Linked DNA regions of Daphnia pulex. The protein of the gene in region 2 interacts with the protein of the main gene of each other region in a pairwise test. Links are inferred from orthologs where the notes say so. Each region holds a gene or a part of one and is shown on either strand. Other genes may lie near its edges.

Evidence for each region. The genes of interacting proteins can lie anywhere in the genome.
Region 1: the proteins of disks large 1 tumor suppressor protein-like (region 2) and ATPase family AAA domain-containing protein 3A homolog interact in a two-hybrid assay, tested with the Caenorhabditis elegans proteins (3 studies listed by BioGRID). The link is inferred for Daphnia pulex from reciprocal best matches to the Caenorhabditis elegans genes dlg-1 and atad-3.

Annotation. Positions count from the first base shown.
Region 1 is NC_060023.1:4,564,535-4,568,284, forward strand, and holds ATPase family AAA domain-containing protein 3A homolog, read right to left. Parts: upstream 2,852-3,750; 5' UTR 2,663-2,851; coding exon 2,446-2,662; intron 2,392-2,445; coding exon 1,954-2,391; intron 1,892-1,953; coding exon 1,611-1,891; intron 1,550-1,610; coding exon 1,449-1,549; intron 1,375-1,448; coding exon 1,217-1,374; intron 1,154-1,216; coding exon 1,000-1,153; intron 926-999; coding exon 811-925; intron 755-810; coding exon 503-754; intron 439-502; coding exon 334-438; 3' UTR 197-333; downstream 1-196. Other genes in the region: proteasome subunit beta type-6-like, read left to right, coding at 1-62. UniProt on the Caenorhabditis elegans protein: Essential for mitochondrial network organization, mitochondrial metabolism and cell growth at organism and cellular level. Important during development for the up-regulation of mitochondrial activity during the transition to higher larval stages.
Region 2 is NC_060025.1:300,631-304,386, forward strand, and holds the start of disks large 1 tumor suppressor protein-like, read left to right. Parts: upstream 1-1,168; 5' UTR 1,169-1,315; coding exon 1,316-1,853; intron 1,854-2,129; coding exon 2,130-2,341; intron 2,342-3,756. UniProt on the Caenorhabditis elegans protein: Essential multidomain scaffolding protein required for normal development. Recruits channels, receptors and signaling molecules to discrete plasma membrane domains in polarized cells. Required for proper embryonic elongation.

The sequences.
Region 1 (3,750 bases), on a different chromosome or scaffold from region 2:
AAGATGGAATTGAACGTCGTACAGTTTTGGGTAATGAACTTCCACGATTTTACGAAGATTGAGATTTTCAATGTAACTGCTTATGAAAGTACCAATACATAAAAGAAGACTTTAAACACATCATGGGAATCCGACTATTTTTATTAAAACTATGACGTAACTACGGGTAAACAAATTTGACTCTGGGAGAGGAAACGATGGACCATAATCCATAATGTATGGAATATATTGTCAAACAAAAGTAGCAACAAGACAAACAAAGCAAAATGTAACGCGTCGTAATTGCCACATTTGTTCAAGAAATTTCATCATTTACTACGGCCAATTTTTAATCTAATTATTCTTTGACTTTTCAACTCCGGATTGGGAAAGAAAACTCCTGTTTTTAGCGCTAATAGTTTTGAAATTTCCTCTTTCTTCTTCACTTTGCCATTCAACCTGTCATACAGCATACATTAAGTAACCAATAACTAAAAACAAATCAATTAAAAATTGTACAGACCTTCTGACAATGTTGCTGAACGGCATCTTTAACCTTCTCCATTACCATTTTCTCGGTAAGAATTCCATCAGAGGACGCATAAGCAGATGCTTGCCAAGCTACACCGAGCTTAGCTATTTCACGGCCTGACATTCCTTTCACTTCACTGGCAATTTTAGTGCATAACGCACCGTAATCAAACTGTGCAACTTTTAACCGTCTTTTTCCTTCTGCAGCCGGTTGTAAAATAAACTTGTCAAAATAGAGCCGAACCTAACAGTTGAAAATTGTAGACTTGACAGATAACGAAATAGTAATAACAATTGTACCAGTCGTTCTCTCTCTTCCAATCCCGGAAGCATAAATTCTACCATCTCATCTAATCGATCATTAACTGCCCAATCAAATTGTTCTGGAGTATTGGAAGCCAAAACCATCATGAACCTGAAATTAAAGATTTAAAGAAGAATATAATTATTTTGAAAAAAAAAAAAAACTTAAAACGACAACGGACGTACTTGTTAGATTGCTCGCCGGTACGGTAAAGAAAAGCGTTTAGTGTAGCTCTCAAGTCCTCACTGATTTTTTCTGAAGATCTCTTCCGTAAAAATGCGTCTGCTTCATCAACGAATAAAAGCAATCCTCGTCGAGAGCCATTAGCCCAATCAAAAACTGAAAGAAAATATTTCTATGAGCAAGTTTGATCTTACAAGAAAAATAAAAAAATAATCAAACCTTTGTGTATAGCCGTAACGCCATCCCTACCCAACGGTGAAATATCACCGCCGGTCAATATAGCATAATCGAGCCCACTATGTTTAGCTAGCTTTTTGGCGAACAAAGTTTTTCCAGTTCCTGGCGGTCCATGCATTAAAATGTTCCGGAACATACCCCTTTAAAAACACATTAAATAAACAGGAACAGCTTGTTGCTATACATGATTATAAAGATAAAAATGTCTGCTTACTTATTTTGCTTAGTATTTTTTGTTGCGATTGCAATATCTCTCAAGCGTTCCTCCAACTTGGGCTCCAAAACTACTCCAGACAAAGCATCTTCTGATTTAGCCTGAAAGCATTTCCATAAATACTCCACATATCTAAAATGTAATCTGTTTAACTGGAAGTACCTTGATAGCCTTTATAGTTTTGATAGGGTGGCGAATTGTATCAACAAGGTTTACTCTCGATGTTTCACGAACTAGAGAAGGCTTTCCGATTCGGGACTCGATATAGCGAGCAACTACACCAGTACCACCTTTGGCAGAATAAATGCCAAGGGCAAGTAGTGAGATTCCAGCTGCTGCTGCAGCTATTTTATCCCAGTCAGAAAGGAAAGTATTGAACCCAGTTCCCAAAACAGCACCAGCAGTTTTTATGGATTCCATGACTGTGGCACGATTTTCAGAAGCTGTAAAAAATAAATGAAACATGTTAAAATAGAATTACAATATGAAAATTTAGTTACTGTACCTTTAAGACGAATTTGTTCCAGATATAGATCTTGATTCTCTCTGTCAACCTTGGCTTTTGCTCTCATTTCAGCTTCAAGTCTCTTCATGTCGGTTTTTGAACGAAGATCCATCTCATACTCCAAAGTTTGTTTTCTCAAAGCTTCCTGCTTAGCAACACTTTCTTCTTGTTTCCTCAAATTTTCTTCATTAGCTCTTTGTTGTTGCAATAATTGATCTTCATATCGCTTCCGAGCCAATTGATCCTGGTATTGAGATCTTTGTTGATTTTGTTTTGTTTCTTCTTGAAGAGTTTTTCTTCTTTCTTCATGATCTACACGTTTCTGATCAACTTTTAATTGTTCAATGTGTGCTTCATACTCCTTGATTTTGGCTATTTGCTCTTGCTGTCTTGTTTGTTCTTGAGCTTTTGTCAAATCCAAAGCATCTCTGGCAAATTCTAAATAACAAAACTTTAAGTAATGTTTTATTCAACATATTGATACAAACTTACTAGATTTTTCCAATTCTTTAGCTGCTTGTGCAGCTCTCTCTAAGGCCGAAGAGTCAAATCTATAAGCATCTGAAGCCCGCGCTCCACCAACATTCCCACGAGGTTGTTGATTTTGCGGTTGACCGGTATTGGAATTGTCGTCTACACCACTTTCGGCAGGGGGTGGTACTGAGCCAGTGCTACTAGGGTCCTTCCTTAATCCAAAAAGCCAAGACATGGTGAATTCAAACTGTAACCAGAATTATTTCGAATATCTTGCAAAATTCCACGTGGATGGAATTATGAAACTTGCGAGGTAAATTTGGAAGCAGACGATTCGGACTACACCGTTCCGTTACTAGAGGCGTACGTAGCGACGGTTACGTAGGGGGAAAAATGAACAACTTTGATAAGTAAGGCCAAGAAAACTCTACCATTTCAAGCTATTTCAAGAAGTTCCTCACTCTTCGACACCTCGATAGATGTCGTTATATCTCCTTCGCCTGTTTTCCTTTTCTGTGTTTCAATCTGTAATCAGCTGTAATGTTTAAAGGCCTTTCAGTACTTGTGTTAATTGCTGTGAAGCACTGTGAAGTCAATCCAGCATGAACCGTAAAGTATTAACATTAGTTTTGATTAGAAAGCTAAATGAAGTATTGCTTGGTTATAAAAAGAGAGGATTTGGAGTAAACAAATGGAATGGTTTCGGAGGGAAAGTGGAAGCAAAGGAAGGTATTTACGAAGCAGCAGCTAGGTGAGAGATGAAAAATATTTGAAAAGGGATTTTACCTATAATGCAAAAAGTTATGTGAATGAAAAAATAGGGAATTGAGAGAGGAATGTGGACTTGTTGTCTTACCTGTAAATTTGGAAAAGATTGGCCTAATCAATTTTGAATTCGTGGGGGATCCTGTTATTTTGGAAGTTCACGTATTTACTTCAACTAAATATGAAGGCCATCCTTTTGAAACAGAAGGTAAATTACTCTAAAAACTAGACAGAGTTAATTAGTCAATAAACTTAATTATGTTTTCCTACATCTTCTTTTTTCATATAAAGAGATGTTACCTAAATGGTTTAATGTTACGGACATTCCTTTTGATGATATGTGGGTTGATGATAAGTTGTGGTTCCCTCTGTTCTTGTCAGGGAAAAAATTCAAAGGTTACTTTCTTTTCCAAGGCCATGATGTCATTTTAAAACATAATCTGGAGAATATAACATGTTTCTGAAATTCACCGTTTAATAAACTTTGTGATAAGTCCTGTATAACACGTTCTCAACTTAATTTCTAAGTTTGTATTGTTGTTTGTATGAGGGCATGAT
Region 2 (3,756 bases):
TCCTGGGCAGACAAGTGCCACCATCTACCGATGGATAAAGACAACCAAAAAGTTGGTGAACTGATTGCTAGATGGCGTGGGCGTATTGGCCGATCGATCGATTTTCTCTTGTATTCACCAAAGAATGGTGGTTGGGGGGCTCTTTTTTTTTATGATTTGTTATTATGGTTTCCAAACCAAACAAGAATAAAAAGAAAAGCCCTTCTTTTTCTTCTGTTTTGTGTAGAATATAATACCGCACTCCCCGAAGATTATAACATCCATCAGAACTGGAAAATTGCTGTCGAGATCTATCAATTTTGGGCCGCTTCTTCCAACTATATTCCGTTGGTCGCACACATAGACAGACAGACAATCCCGGGACGATCCATAACGTTATTTCGTCTTGTTTTTCTTTCTGTCGTTTTGCTCGGGAAACTAAACAGTCGAATGGGACTGTGATTTAAAAAAGGGAGAAGAGAAAAGAAAATCAGATTTGCATACACAAATCAAGTCATCGTTTTTCGATTCTTTCTAGACACACAATCTTCTCGGTCGAATGGACGTTGTGTGTGTGTTGCCGCTGTTCCGTCATCCATAACAACACAAAGTCTAATTCGGAAATGTCAAAAAAGAAAAGTCTCTTATTTTTGGGTGGGTTATTTTTCATCGTCATACATTTTTATTCCGTGAATTATTTAGTACTGCTCTGCGCTGGCAGCCATATATACATGGGTATTAGTTGGGGTGGGCAATCAAGCCCCGCAGTAGTCCGTCTTGGGGTTTTTTGGAAGCCAACAACCGCGACCGGATTAGTTTTGAGGCCCACGTCGTCTAATCCTCTGGATCCTTTTTGTTATTTATTTATTTCCAAGAAAGAAAAAGTAAATAGGGAAACGATGTGGGCTGGTGGGTTTTTACAAAAGAAGTCTGTCGACCGACTGTTGCTGTTTTCTACTACCTAATCTGTCTATATGCAGAGACGTTGATGAATGGAAGGCGAAAGTGGATTTTCAAGAGCCACTGTCGATCGAGTAAGAGCTAGTCGGCGCCGGCGCCGCTATATAGACGCTGGGTCCGTTTTGTGTGTGTTGTACATACGAGTGAGGAGGAGAAGACCAGCATCAGCCGTTAGCAGATGTATTCGCCTCTTCCGTGGTGGTGGATGTTGTTGCCTTTCTCGTCGACAGGACGGCGGCCTCGAGTGATCTTGTACCCGGATAAAATTACAAAACAAAAAGCACCACGCAGGATTATTAGTATGTCCATCAGGGTCTATGAGTGATGTGATGGCTATCGAGAGGTCCCGGACGACAGGCCCCGGTTGGTGGCCATTATGATGGCCCTGTTCGGCTTACTTTGGCTAATGCGCATCCGAGCGGAAGTGAGAAAAGACAAAAGAAAACGGTCGTCCAATCATCCCGGATTGGACGAGCATCTATTACTGTTGCCTCCTCCAGTTTCATTCGCCGACTCTAAACAACAACAGCAACAACTACAAGACGAGGAGGACGTTGTTGACGACGATGTGATCCCTCCGCCGCCTCCGCCGCCTTTGAGGCAGAACGTGCAAATCCATCGCTCCTCTTCGTCCATCCATCGCGACAGTTTCCAGCGTTTCCAGCAACATTACCCCATCTCTCAGCAGCCTCCGAGATTCTTCCAACAAGCTCAATCCTTCTCCCGTTCCGCTCAAAACTTACCGCTAAGCACCTTGGAGTGCACTTGTCCGACGGGCGGCGGCCGCCCAGCTGTCCGCCGGCCGGCTGTCCGATTTTGTGACGATCCATTCGGATTCTACTCCGCTCGTGGCGCTCAAAGTTGGAATTATTCGACTCTGCCACGCAATCGGCCGACGTCTCGATCCGCGCATGGTTGGTTATTCGGAATTCAATTAAGCTCCGGCTACTAGGATTGGTTGGCGGCCATACCGACACACACACACACACAAAAGTTTTCCAACAATGGAACGTCGACGACGACGAAATTTCCTTGTTTTTGATTACTTTTCTAATTTAAAGATATTAAGTCGTTGGCGCGTGTTGAATTTGATTGTTATGTACCTCTCAATCTATTTCAAATTGAGCGCCATTTCCATTCCATTAATGCGGCTGTCAAAACTAATTCCACGTTTTCCCCGTTGTAAATAGACATTCAGGAATTTTACGAGTTGACGTTGCTGGACGAGACGAAAACGGTGCAACAAAAGACGGCCGAGACGCTGCAAATGGCAAGCAAATGGGAAACGGCTAATCAACAGTCAGGGCCGGCAGCCGTCATCATTCCGACGCGGTTCGGCGACAGCATTCAACAACAGTCGTCATCTTGCGTCACGGCCGCCTCGACGTCGTTCCCGATGGAGGTAAGAACCCAATACAACCTTCGTTTGAATTTATTCGCAACTGTGGCGGGAGTGGGTGGCGTGTATAAAAAGCCAAAAGAAAAATCATTTTTCATTTTTGATGAAGCGATGTGGGAAACGGAACTTGGCGAATCCATGAATAAGCTCAAATAAATCTCATCCGAGTGCGTGGCTTTCTTATTCGACTCTGGATGAAACGAAAAAAAGTTGTAGGAGAATTAGGCGAATCGCTCTAGGAAAAATGTATTCAACTTTTAAAGAGCATTTTTGGGAGCGTCGGCTTGTATCAAAAGCTCCGATCGATTTCCCGCCCTCGCCCCCCCCCCCCCAACACACACACAAACGCCATGTTGATTTTGATTTCGACATCAACAAACACCAGCAGCGCAAACGTTTTCCAAAGCTGATTGAAGCGTGTTGCGGGTCGACGAGCTGAACCAACAAGAGAGCCACGGGATTGGCCGTTGCCACCTTGTTGACTTACACGTTCTCCCTACCAGATCTGAAAATCGTTGAATTTAAAAAATCATTCGCTTTATTTACCCGCCGTTATTATTGATGAATTATTCGGAAAAGAAAAAATCAACAAACTGTTGAATTAAAAAATAAATTAAAACCAACTTGCAACACGGCCGTGTCATTATCGATTTAAAAATAAAGAAAAGTTGTTGGGACGCGGAGTTTGACGCAACGGTTCGTTGCTCAATTCAAATACCCCGCCAGCAAGAGTTTGAGGATGAGCGTTTGCTCGTCGTGAGTCTTCATCTTCAAACATAATGAGCGGCTGTTCATTGACGCCCAGACGAGCTTGAACTCACCCCGCCCGGGTATTGATCCTCCTTCCCTGTCAGTGCCCGGCGCTGCGTGCAATGACGTCAACTACCCCGTCGTCTTTTAAGTCGCCTACTAAATGGACTTGGTGGAGGACCAGTGAAGATAATTTAATTTTTGAATTTGTGTTATGTGGGACCAGCACGAGACCAGTCCCTTTCTCGAGAAAATTAGAAAAGAGAATCGCTAACCGCTTGATGAGAAATTGGCAAGTGCCCCCTACTTGTAGTGGGCGAGGGTGGAGAAGGCGAGTGGCGTTGCGTCACGCACTTACCGGCTTTGAAGAGAGACAATCACGTTTTATCGTCGGCCAATGAAATGTTATTCGAGTTAAATGCACTACGCTGGTTGAAGCTCATTTGAAGGAAACACGTTTTTACGAGGCTGGATCGCTGGATAAGGGTACGAATCTCTTTGGGTTGGCCACCATCACTATATACTCTACGTTTCGTTAGTGCGTAGCCCAAGGGCGCCAACTCTCTGTACACTGGATACCGTTGGGCGGATGGGCGGACGAGAGTGTATTGTTGTTGTTGTTGTGGTTTTACCCCCCCAAACCGTGAGGTTGTTGCCATGCCAAGTAA